3 linked regions of the Cricetulus griseus genome follow. The protein of the gene in region 3 binds, or shares a complex with, the protein of the main gene of each other region. Links are inferred from orthologs where the notes say so. Each region holds a gene or a part of one and is shown on either strand. Other genes may lie near its edges. The genes, in order: Zmynd8, Asf1b and histone H3.3A.

Evidence for each region.
Region 1: the proteins of histone H3.3A (region 3) and Zmynd8 are in contact, whole or in part, in an NMR structure (PDB 7CWH), measured with the Homo sapiens proteins. The link is inferred for Cricetulus griseus from reciprocal best matches to the Homo sapiens genes H3-3A and ZMYND8. Residues at the interface, in NP_001365972.1 of Homo sapiens: Ser32, Val36, Lys37, Lys38, Pro39; in NP_001350670.1 of Homo sapiens: Asp84, Asn87, Asp88, Gly98, Gln99, Val100, Leu101, Leu117, Thr118, Ser119, Glu120, Glu122.
Region 2: the proteins of histone H3.3A (region 3) and Asf1b are in contact, whole or in part, in a crystal structure (PDB 7VCQ), measured with the Homo sapiens proteins. The link is inferred for Cricetulus griseus from reciprocal best matches to the Homo sapiens genes H3-3A and ASF1B. Residues at the interface, in NP_001365972.1 of Homo sapiens: Asp107, Leu110, Cys111, His114, Ala115, Lys116, Arg117, Lys123, Asp124, Gln126, Leu127, Ala128, Arg130, Ile131, Arg132, Gly133; in NP_060624.1 of Homo sapiens: Ile43, Val45, Ala48, Glu49, Glu51, Asp54, Thr87, Asp88, Val92, Thr93, Val94, Leu96, Arg108, Gly110, Tyr111, Tyr112, Val113, Asn114, Glu116, Asn138, Ile139, Leu140, Asn143, Arg145, Thr147, Phe149.

What each region holds. Positions count from the first base shown.
Region 1 is NC_048599.1:13,536,313-13,540,053, reverse strand, and holds the start of Zmynd8 (protein kinase C-binding protein 1), read right to left. Parts: upstream 2,323-3,741; 5' UTR 2,181-2,322; coding exon 2,167-2,180; intron 2,004-2,166; exon of another isoform or gene 1,886-2,003; intron 1,736-1,885; exon of another isoform or gene 1,717-1,735; intron 978-1,716; exon of another isoform or gene 909-977; intron 1-908. UniProt on the Homo sapiens protein: Chromatin reader that recognizes dual histone modifications such as histone H3.1 dimethylated at 'Lys-36' and histone H4 acetylated at 'Lys-16' (H3.1K36me2-H4K16ac) and histone H3 methylated at 'Lys-4' and histone H4 acetylated at 'Lys-14' (H3K4me1-H3K14ac).
Region 2 is NC_048596.1:160,459,830-160,463,570, forward strand, and holds the start of Asf1b (histone chaperone ASF1B), read right to left. Parts: upstream 2,125-3,741; 5' UTR 1,968-2,124; coding exon 1,859-1,967; intron 1,357-1,858; exon of another isoform or gene 1,316-1,356; intron 1,251-1,315; exon of another isoform or gene 1,215-1,250; coding exon of another isoform or gene 1,133-1,214; intron 1-1,132. UniProt on the Homo sapiens protein: Histone chaperone that facilitates histone deposition and histone exchange and removal during nucleosome assembly and disassembly. Cooperates with chromatin assembly factor 1 (CAF-1) to promote replication-dependent chromatin assembly.
Region 3 is NC_048598.1:13,474,932-13,478,672, reverse strand, and holds the start of histone H3.3A, read right to left. Parts: upstream 2,772-3,741; 5' UTR 2,627-2,771; intron 1,073-2,626; 5' UTR 1,050-1,072; coding exon 922-1,049; intron 1-921. UniProt on the Homo sapiens protein: Variant histone H3 which replaces conventional H3 in a wide range of nucleosomes in active genes. Constitutes the predominant form of histone H3 in non-dividing cells and is incorporated into chromatin independently of DNA synthesis.

The sequences.
Region 1 (3,741 bases), on a different chromosome or scaffold from region 3:
CGAGAACCTCAGTCTGTAATTTCCATTTACAGCAACAAGATAAGAAAGAATAGCAGAACTTGTGTGGGGCAAGGGCACTAAGAGCATCACACCCCATCTGTATTTTGACTTCAGAGATGCTTGCCTGCCTCACACAGACTGCCCAGTCCATAATTCAGTCTGTATCTCTTTACTAAATGAACCTTTTTCAACTGATGTCAAAGGTTGAGTTGCTTGAACACTAAAAGAAAAAGATTAGTGAGTCTGTGAAGTTGGCCTAAGACCACCTCTGAACACAGGCAGCACTTCCATGCAAACTGGCTGGATCTCAAAGCTGAAAATATGCGTTGTGAGCTTCCAGGCAGACCTTGAAGATAAATGCTAAGAGAAAGTTGACTTCTGTCACTTTAAAATTCGAGCTGCACCCTTAAAAGCCAACATGCACAAAAGTGTGGACCAGGCGTGGGGGAAAAGAAGCTAAAACTAGTGGTCAGTGAGCCCTAAACCAATCCTAGTTTGGGAGTGGCTAGGATTCTACACCAGATGTAAACACCGTAAAACTTATATACGACAACACAAGGCACACACACACACACAGGCACATACCCTGTGTGTAGGGCTCTGGAACCCCTGAGAACAAACAGTTTTGTTCCCATTTCACTAGCAGATCACCTACCCAGAGTTCAGAAGGGCCAGACACAATTCAAGGTCTAGCTGCAAGTCACAATGGACCCAGCAATTCCTCCCCAGCTGAGGGTAAACAGGAAGTGAGATCTTCAGTCCTAACTGCAGGTTAGCAGGAACAACAGTGGATTCAAGCCATCACCTAAACTCAAGACACTCTTTAGAAGCCACCTCCCCCATTACAACAGACCCCAAATGTTCACCGAACTCTTGCTACACAGCCAGAGATGGATTGCTTTACTTACCCAACATACGTTCAAGCAACCGTCTCACTTTTCCAGTTAGGAAGAGAGAACAAGCTGGCACGTTTGGGACTTGATCAGAAAGGAAAATTTTTTTGTAAACAGTTACATGGTATTATTAAAAACCTCCACCACCACCACCACCACCACCACCACCACACAACCCAGTAGCTGGGTATGAGATGCTGTCATGAGCCTCAGGTATGATCTTATGACCTCCACACTCTATCACTGAGGCCAGAAGATGATATAATGTTTAAAAAAAAAAAAAGAAGAGGGGAAGAAAACAAGGATAAATGAAACATTAGCCCATGGAAAAGCATGCAAAAGTAGAAAGCTAAAGGAGTCAGAGTCCTCCCAGGGTTTTTTTTCCTGCAGGATGTTATTCAAAATCTCTCCCCATCCCCACCCCCACCCCACCCCCCAGGCACCATCCCTACTCCACAAACTCCCTCAGAGGCTAGAAAACACTTTCAGAACCATTTGCTGGCTGTAGGCTGGCTTGAAGAACACTCTGTACCAAAGCTAAGTCAGGGAAAAAGGCTGAACAACATAGCTGTTAAGTGCGAAGCCCTGTAGAGGAAGAGGAGAGAGTCCACACGCCACCACCCACCTAGGCCCAGGAGCCAGCCTGGCTCTCTGAGCTCTGCTCTTGCTCAGGCCTGGGTTCTGTTGCAAACAAACACACATCCTGTCTTGTCAGAACTTAGCCCAGCCTTTCCCAGAACCTCTCTGGAGAAGCAGGCTTGCTTGCTCTGCTATCTGCCACACACAGTCCTGAACAGTGCTGGGAGAAGACCTTCTGGCTTACCTTCCAATTTCTTTCCCCCAGCAAGCATGTGACAGAGCAGACAATAGTGCAGGGGTGGGGGTGGGGGGGACTGTTCAGAGAGGGAGACAGGGAGACAAGGAGAGGAAGGGAGAAAAAAAAAAAGAAAAAAAGAAGGGGAAATAAAATAATAGCTACTCTTTTGGCATACCAGGATCTAGCTTCAAACTATTGCAGAAATTCTATGTCCTGGTCAGAGTAAAGGTGTCCCAGGCCCTCACCAGGCTGTAAAATCAAGCTATGGCTAATGGCTACTTAGCCATGTGACCCAAGAAAGGAAAAAAAAAATCTCTCTAAACAGTCCCAAGTTAGCCTAAGTGCTCTGGGGGGATGAGTGTGGCACAGCCAGGCTACAGAGAAATCACACTGCTAGTCCACAAGTCGGATGACTCAGAGGAAGGGAGGAAAAGATGGTTAAAAAGGCGAGCTTACCTCTGTGGATGCATTGTTAACTGTGTAATGTCAATACTTATAAAACATGGAGGACAGGCTCCTAGTTCTCACAGAAAAAGGGTTTGGCACTTCGGCTGATGATCTGGCCGCCTAATAAAAGCTCATCCCCGATTGGCTGCCCCGGCAAATCGGAGTGTAAAGTCGCCGCGGATTGGCTGAAACACTTCCTGAGCGATTATCTTTGTGAGGCTCGGGTGAGCAAGAGCCATCCTGTGCATAGAAAAAGACAGGCCAAGCTAGGCCTTTTGCAGGAAGAAAAACTTGGGAAAGGGGCCCCCGCACGCACTTCTCCCACACCCTGACGAGATTCCCCGGTCCTGGCAAACCTGTGCAGCCAGCCTGACCTGCTCCAGCAAAGCCTGAGGCCAGGATGCCACTGGGAAGAGCCCTTTTGGGGTGGGCTGGAGGGCGCATCCACACCTGCCCCCACGCAGAAGTCGTTTTCTAAGGAGGAAAACAGCTCGTTTCCTAGAACAAGCCAGCTTGAGTGGGTCTCAAAGGAGAAAGTCGAGCTGAGGGGTGGAAAGCCCCGGGGAAACAGGAGCAAGAGGGACAAGGCCAGATGCAGGCCTCTGAGGGGCTGAGGGGGGAACAGGCAGCCCAAGGGAGGCCCCCAACAAATCAGCAAGGGGCAGCCAGGTCCCCGGGAGGTGAAAGGAGCCTCTGCTGTGGGGAGGAGTGATCAAGTTTGCCTAGTCATGGTCAAAGTGCCTGCTGGAGAAAGCAGGCCCACAGAGCCATTTGCAAGGCTGGGAGTCTACAGCCTCTCACCACCCCCGTCAGTCCTCAAAGAAAAACCAAAAGGGTCTGTCTGTCAAGATGGCAAGGGGAGAACCCACTCCAGGCTTACCCTAAGAAAAGCCAAATGCGTTGCTAGCAGGCCACAGGCCTCCATCTACATACAGACCCTCCTTTCCCAGCTCCCTCCCCCACCAATGAGGCCTGCTAAACCTGTCAGTTAAACAAAAATCTGACTTCCGTATTAGTCTGTGATGCCTTCAGCTTCCTGCCTGTTAACCCTCTCTCGGACTCTGGGCCTCTCTGGGAAAAACTAGGCCCTGAGATTGCAGAAAAGGCCTGTGGAAAAATACCAGCTGCAGCTCTCCCAGGCAGATGCAGAAAGAAAGAGGGAGAGCTAGCTAACTGCTGTCTCGCCTCTGCTTCCCGAGGAGGCGTGGACCTTCTGAATCCAGGGCATACAGGCAGTGTCTGAGAAGCCATTTAAATCCAGAGGGACAGAGAACGATGTCAAACCCGGCCAGGAAACAAGAACCTCCATTATAGTCAGGCCTACACACCCACAGGTTAGCCCTTTCGGCCATAATTGCTCCTGTATGTGTGTTCTGGGGAGGAACTGGGCCCTGTTTGGTGGGCTGACAAATCCCCTGGGCTTCGCAAGGGTTCTTGCTTCAATTTATTTCCACAGAGAACTGCTTCTTTTTGTCCCCTAAGGCAGAGGGAACGGCGACTTCACACACAGCCTCACACTTGGCGATTCCCCCCACTACCCCGGTCTCTGGCTCTGCTCCCCAGTAAAATATTAACTAGTTTCTC
Region 2 (3,741 bases), on a different chromosome or scaffold from region 3:
AACTGTGATTCCATTGATTTATGTCTCCTCTTGGCTTCCAAATAAATCTTATCCCACATTGTTACCCTATATTTTATTTATTTACACCCTACCTTGTTCCAGCAAGGATTTAACCCAGCTTTATTCTATAGTTAAGCCACAAGTAGATTCCTTTAAACTTAAGGAGAAACTAGGGAGAGGATCAGCCAGTGGCCCACCCCAAGCACACATTATAGCAGCTCCAGGTGAACAGAAGTGGCTGGATTTGTCTGAACACCAACCACAGCCACCAAGAGGCACTAGTTTTCACAACCTAGCCTCTCAGAGCTCCACCTCCTCAGCTGCTACATCTTTCAACCCTCAGTAGGAAAATGAGGAGTGTTTCCTCCTAAAAGCAGGACTTGCCTAGTGTTAATATTTTGTTTATGATCTAACAAATAAAGCTTGCCTGAAGATCAGAGTGCAAAGCTAGCCACACTAGCTAGCCATAGAGGCCAGGCAGTGGTGGTACACACCTTTAATCCCAGCACTTGGGATACAGAAGCAGACAGAGCTCTGTTAGTTCGAGGCCACCTGAGCTACACAAAATTGAGCCAGTCTGAAAGAGAAACAGAGCTCAAAGAAAGGTGATCTCAGCACTTGGGATCCTATACCTTTAATCCCATCAATAGAGAGGACTATAAGGCGGGAGGAGACAAGGATGTGCAGTCTGAGGCAGTCTGAGCAGCAGTACAGTCTGGACATGCAATCTAAGGACAGGATCACCCTTTCTGTCTGAGGTAGAGGTAAGAGCTAGTGGCTGGCTACTTTGCTTCTCTGATCTTCAGCTTTAACCCCAATATCTGTCTCTGGGTTTTTATTAAACATGCTACACATTGCCTTGCTGTGGAGCTGAGACTACAAAGTGACCTCATGGTTAATGTGTTCACAGACTTATTTCAAAGGTCTTTTGGTCTTTGTGGCCCTTGTCCTGTCATCTAACAGCCACGTCCACCTTTATGTCCTGCAGATGAATGAAGTCATTCTGTGAAAGATTCACAAAGGCCAGCGGTCTCTCTCCCCAGCTGACTGAAGTTGAATCCCATCCCTGTTTGGTCAGTCACCCCCCACCACCACCAGGTCAGCCCATCAAAAGGAAGGAGGGATTCCTTACACTGAGTCTGCTGGAAGCTGGTAGAAATCCCAAAACTGGCAGAGGCCTGCCTGGCTGTAGCACCCCTTTCCCGAGTGTTCATCCAATCCCAGACCAGGAGCTGGGGAGGCCAAGTTATCTACAAAGAGCCAGAAGACCCCATCCCTCCCCGGGGGAAGGTCATGCATAGGATATGGTACTAACCTAAAGAGAGGCCCCGGTCTGGACAACAGCCATGACGTTACAGTTGGCTAGGAGGAGTTGCTAGGGACAAATGTGGAGATGTCTGGGGATGGTATCGATGGGAGACAAATGGGGTGGAAGAGGTCTTGCCATGGGCAGACAGGGTAGCAAGAGGAGGGTCTGCTGGTCTGTAGAAAAGCCGTCCATAAGGAAAATGGGGGAGGGTACTGGAGGTTGGGTTTCCATGGAAGAGAGAATAGATGGGAGGTTTTCTATGGGGAAATAGGCATGAAAATGGAGTCTAGCCATTGGGAAGAAGGCGTAGCCGCGGTCTCTTACACGCTAGATGGAGGCTTACACCACTACAAAGAAAAGGTGCCAAGGACAAGTGGTTCAGGACGAGGGGTGCCTCCACGAGACAGTGCAGGTTACCGTGCACTGGATCCTATCCACCGAGTTGGACCACGGAGGCTTATCTCTGAGTGGAGAAGTTCCCGGGGAGGCTGGGAGTGGCAAAAATGAGGGCAAGAGGGTTTGGGGTCCCCTGCACAGGCCCAGCCTCACCGTCAGACAGGGCCTCACTGCATTCGAAGCTGATCTCGAACCGGAAGGGGCTGTGGAAAGGGCTCGGGTTCTCCAGGACAGCCACGTTCAGCACCGACACCTTGGCCATCACCTCGCCAGGGGGTCACAGCTGCAGTGGAGCCTTCTCCGGTGTCCTGCGCAGCCAATGGCGGCTGGGGAAGAGGAGGTCGCCGAGGCAGAGAACCTCTCAGCGACTCCAACTCTTCTCTAAAGAGCGTCTCGCGTCCGCGCGCGGCCTTCAAATAGCTGACTCCACCCTCCAGCCAATCGCCGCTAAGGATCTATGACGGCGCGAGAGCCCCGCCAGCCAATCCTGAGGCTTCTTCCGGTTTGCGCCTCGACCCGCGGACCAATCAGAGAAGCTTCCTCTTCACGGTCCGCGGGAGGCGGAACGATCATCTTTTAGCTTCGCAAAGTGTCCATCCGGAACCAATCCCTAGCGTCTCCGACTCGAATATCTTGCGCCGGGGTGGGCGGAGTTAGAGCGCGGAACTTCTCTTGTCCAATCCCAAGGGTTACCGCATCGGCGTGACCCGCCCCCTCATTCTGCTCTTCCGGTAGGCACACCCCACAGAGAGCAGAGCCACTAACGGCCGAACGGTGGCGCGCGACTCTTACTTAAGAGCGCTGAAAGAAGGGAGCCAGAACTCGCCGTGATTGACTAGCGACCACGGGGCGGGGCTTCAGTAGGCTTCTGAGATGTGATTGGCTAATGTCGCGGCACAAGGAGGGCTGCGCTGGAAGCCGCCCTCCGGCTCAGTGAAAAGCATGAAGAGGCAAGCGTGATGGCGGCGCTCTGGCCTCCGTTTGTCCGCTGGTGAGCGTTTCCGGGAGCTCCTCTGAGGGACTCCTGGCCTTGAGGACAGCGGCCGTGAACATTTGGAGCACCCCTGAGACAAGATGGCGCGGCAGCGAGTGGGGACCCAGGATGGAGTCCCGGTCCGAAAGGAGTTGAAGTTCGTCGACGTACCAGGGTTTGGATCCTCTCTCCAGCCTGTTTTCCAACCGGTTGAAAAATTCACTGCGAAGGCCTGGGGTGGTGGCGCACTCCGGAGGCGGGGGCAGGCGGGTCTCTTGAGTTCGAGGACAGCCAGGGCTACATAGAGAAACCCTGTCTGGAAAAAACAAAAACAGAAGAAAGTTAACTGCCACTATTTATGACGATATAATGCGGTCTTCACTCCATGCCCCTCTGGCTCCCTAACCCTGCCACAGTCTCTTACACATACAACCAGTGAGAAATAATGCTAGCCACAGACCTTTTACTAATAAGTCTTTTAAAGGAAACAAAACAAAACGCCTGGAGTGCCGGTGTATATCCATTAATCCCAGCACTCAGGAGCCTGAGGTAGGCAGACGTCTGCGAGTTCAAGGCCTGCCTGGTTTACACAGTGATTTTGGGGAAGTAAATGAATAGATAAATTGGTTTTCACATTTGACCATCCTTAAAAGGCCAAGAAACGATGAGAGATTGATTTTAGTATTACATTTAACTCAATAGAACAAAAATGCTAATTTCAAACATTATCAGTATAAAAATGCTAATGAGCTATCCTGCATCCTTTTATTCAGTGAGAAATTTTTGGACTCCTGTACATGTTTTGAAGGGACCAGCTCCGTGTTTCGGCAGCCATAACAGCCTAGCACGTGCTTGCCTGACCTTGCCTTAGTCACTAAGAGGTCAGAAGCCTGCCTTGGGGCAAGGAACCAATCAGAAGTTAGCTGGTGGTGCTACGCTTTATGGCTCTGGGTGTGCTTTGTGGACAAGTGCACAACAATGACATAACAACCAGTTGACCAATCAACACAGGGCAAGCTCTCCAAGCCTGGAGGCACACCAATCCTGAGCCTGTGCATACCCC
Region 3 (3,741 bases):
TTAAAAACAAACAAACAAACAAGACTTGGGAGCATATTCGAAGTTAGGCTGGCAATAAAGACATCTTCCCAGTTTAAGCAACACTTTCTGTTGCCCCATCTGTGCCTTAGGTTTTAAAGTCCTAAAAGAGTTACCAACATAATTTACAACGATTCACTTAAAACACTCGTATTTGATCTCCCAGTATTGTATCACCAGTCATGAATGACTGAATTTGAAAACTTGATTTCACATTGTTTCTCCCACATGAAAAATTTTCTAAAATTAAGTCATTGTCTATAATACTTTTTTTTTTTAACTTGGGAAGCTTTATTGGGGGAAGAGAGTGGGAAAGATAAGAGAGAAAACAAATCCTTTAACCCCTAAATTTGACTTATTTCAACTCTATGAGCTGTTCACTGTACAATCTGTCTATGCAAATTTGGGCAACTTATGCCCTCTAATGGCAGATGTCCTTAACAACAGTGCTTACATAAAAATAAAATGAGGGAGTAAAGGAGGGAAAAACCCAAGTAATTATGACCAAGAGACTTTCTTTACTAGTCTCCCTAAGGTACTACACTTTACCACAAGTGTGGGTCAACCAAAACAAAAAGTATGTGTAAAAACACAACCATTTTTATGTGCCTGTATACACATATGAAACCATTTCATACTTAAAATGCTAATGGTTAAAATGTTAATGTGTCCTACTACCAGTTGAGAACCGCGTCCCTTTAGAATTTAGATCAGATTACAACTTCAAAATGTTATCAATAAAGCCTGACACTAAGTTACATGTATTCATAAATGAACATATGCACGTGTATTTTCAAGCAGCAGTAAACATTCAGAAGGAAAACATCTTTCCCTCACCTTCCTGTTAAATTACATGGACATACTGTTTAGACACTGTCCTATTCCTCCCCCTTTTATAAATACCTGTAACGATGAGGTTTTTTCACCCCTCCAGTAGAGGGCGCACTCTTGCGAGCGGCTTTTGTAGCCAGTTGTTTCCTGGGTGCTTTACCACCGGTGGATTTGCGGGCAGTCTGCTTTGTACGAGCCATGGTAAGAGCACCTCCTTACTTACCTACCAGTATTAAAAAAAAAAAAATCATATTCAACTAAAACATACATTTTCTTGCCAGAAGCCACCCCCTAAAAAAAAAAAAAATCCCAGAAACCTATCATTACTGAGAAAAAAAAAAGGCTGTTATATAATTAATTTGAAAGGGCGCAGGTTAGGTCTACTACCCAAATACGACTTAAAACAAACCGGAAAATTGTCAGCATTAATACTCATAACGCCAATTCCAAGCGACAAACGGCCAAAACCAGCGAGACCACCCCAATGGGTTTTAATTCAATTTCTTTAATTAAAGTAGAAATTAGAAATGCCTGCAAGCATTCGATCACAAACAAGTCAAACGAAAGAAGCCACAAACCACAGAAAGGTCGAGTCAAATTACAGCCAAAAAAAAAAAAAAGAAAGAAAAAAAGAAAAAAGGTTCCAGCGTCCCCCCCCCGTTCGCGCCCCCCGCCTCGCGCTCGGCAGTTGGATTGCTGTAAATATCTGTAAACATTCTTGAGGTTTCTATCTTTACGGTTATGTTGACAAAAAGGCGTCTCGAAAGACAAGAACAACAGCTATTGCCAGCGAGCATTCCACAAAGCCCGTCCTCCCGGGCTTCGCTATGCCAGCCGACTGCCCCGCACCCAGTCTTAATTAGCGCTCGACACCGGCCGCCCGGCCCACCCCAGCACCACATAAACTTTTGCTTCTGCCTCCCCCGGGTCCCCGGGTCCCGGGTCCCCGACCTGCCCTGCCCGGCCCGGCCCGGGCGCCCCGTGCCGGCAGCGAACGACTCGGCTCCCCAAGGCTAGCACAAAATGGAAACAATTGCAAAATGTATCCGACTCCCTTCCAAAGACACAAACAGCAAACCCTTCGAAAAATACCCCATCCCCTGCCACGTGCCGCTCTCCCCCAAATGCAAAAGTTCTTTTTTTCGTTATTTCGAATTTCATATGCATCAAGTTTCCTTTTTTTTCCTCCAAAAAAGGCAAAAAAATAAAAAAAAAGGTGCTTAAGATTTTTTTCCTCCTTCCATTTTAAAATGGGGAAGAGAGAAACGGGGGGGAAAAGAAACATGGTCGGTGACCAGAGAAGAGAGACAAGATGGTGAAGCTCAGCCACAACTGTGGGGAGGCAGCAAAAAGCGAGTTCGCCCGGGGCGGGAAGCGACGGCGATTTTACCCATTTCGCGCCCGACAAACTGCGGCCCGGGACCCGCAGGCGGCAGTTGAGGGGCTCGCGCGGGACCTGGTGAAGGTCTGGGGTCCCGGGAAGGGGCGGCGGGCGGGATTTCACCGAAGAAAGGAGAGCCCGCGGCGCGGGAGGGCCAGCAGGCTCGGCAGGCGGCGCGGCGGGGCCGCCGCCGGGCTGAGGCGGAGACGGAGAGCTGCCGCCGCCGCCGCCGCCGCCGCCGCCCGAGGAGAGGGAAACTCGCTCCCCGTCTCCGTGTCTGCGCCAAAAAGTTTGAGGGTCGAGCCCGAGGGGCTGCGGGGGCCCTCCGCGGCCCGCTACGGCAGCGCCGGCGGACGGGGCCCGGCTCCGGGAGAGCGGGCGGACGGAGAAACTTACCCCCCTTCTCCTTCGGCTGGAGCTCGGCAAGCGAGAGGCGGCGCTGGCGTTAGAGAGCGGCGGCGGCGGCGGCGACGGCTGCGAACACAATTGAAAGATGGCTGACACCGAGGCTACCCCCACACACGCCGCCCCGCCCCGCGCCGCGCCAGCCAATCACACACAATGGAGGGAAGGCTCGGCCCCGCCCCGGGGCCCGCGCGCCCGCCCCCCGCCCCTCCCCCCGCGCGCCCGTTCGCTGGCGCGCGCGCTCGCTCCTCCTCCACCCCCGCCCCCCCACCCCGCGCGCCGCCCGCCCCCGGCTCCCGCCGCCTCTCGCGGTGTGTACAAACACAAAAGACACGCCGAGGGGCCGCGGGGCCCGCCGAGACGCCGCCCGCCCCCGGCCCGGCCCGCGCTCGCTTCCCTCCCCGCCCGGGGCCAGCGCCACGGGGAGCCCCCGGAGCCCCGGCTCCCGGGGGTGGGGGGGTGAGGGATAAGGGGGGGTACCGAGGGGGCCCGTGGGGGATGGGAGGGCGGGCCGCGGGCCAGCGCCCGGCCTGCGGGGGGAGGGGCGCCGCCCCCGCGCGCGTCCCCGAGGCGCCCGCCCGCGTGGGGCGGGGAGAAGGCCGCGGCCCCGCGGTCGCCGCGCCCGGTGGACGAGGCGCCCGAGCCGGAAGCCGGCGAGTGGAAGCCCGAGGCCCGCGCCCACTCTCGGGCCGCGCCCGTTGCGCGCGGCAGGGGCGGGGCCCCGCGGTTCGCTTCCCGCCTAGCGCGGGCGCGGGGCGCGGGCGCGTCCGAGGGCCGGGCCAAATCGCCTGAGGACAAGCCCGTCGCGGACTCTACCCGGGAGAGGCGGGGCGGCCACTGCCAGCGCTGCTTCCCCGACGGCGGCGGCGGCGACACCGCGCTCACCCGCTCCTGCCTGGGCCGCCGTTCTTGATGCAAGATGGCTGTGTGTTGTGAGCCTCGGGAACAATGTGCAGCACAGCTGTCGCTGCGCACGGCCCGGCTGCCGGTCCAGCCCGAGTGGGCCGCTCAGCGAGCGGCCTCACCCTCCTCGGAAGATCGCTGTGGAAGGAGACTGTGACATAGCAGCTTAAGGCTGTCGCTGTAAGAGGCTGAAAACGGCAGGT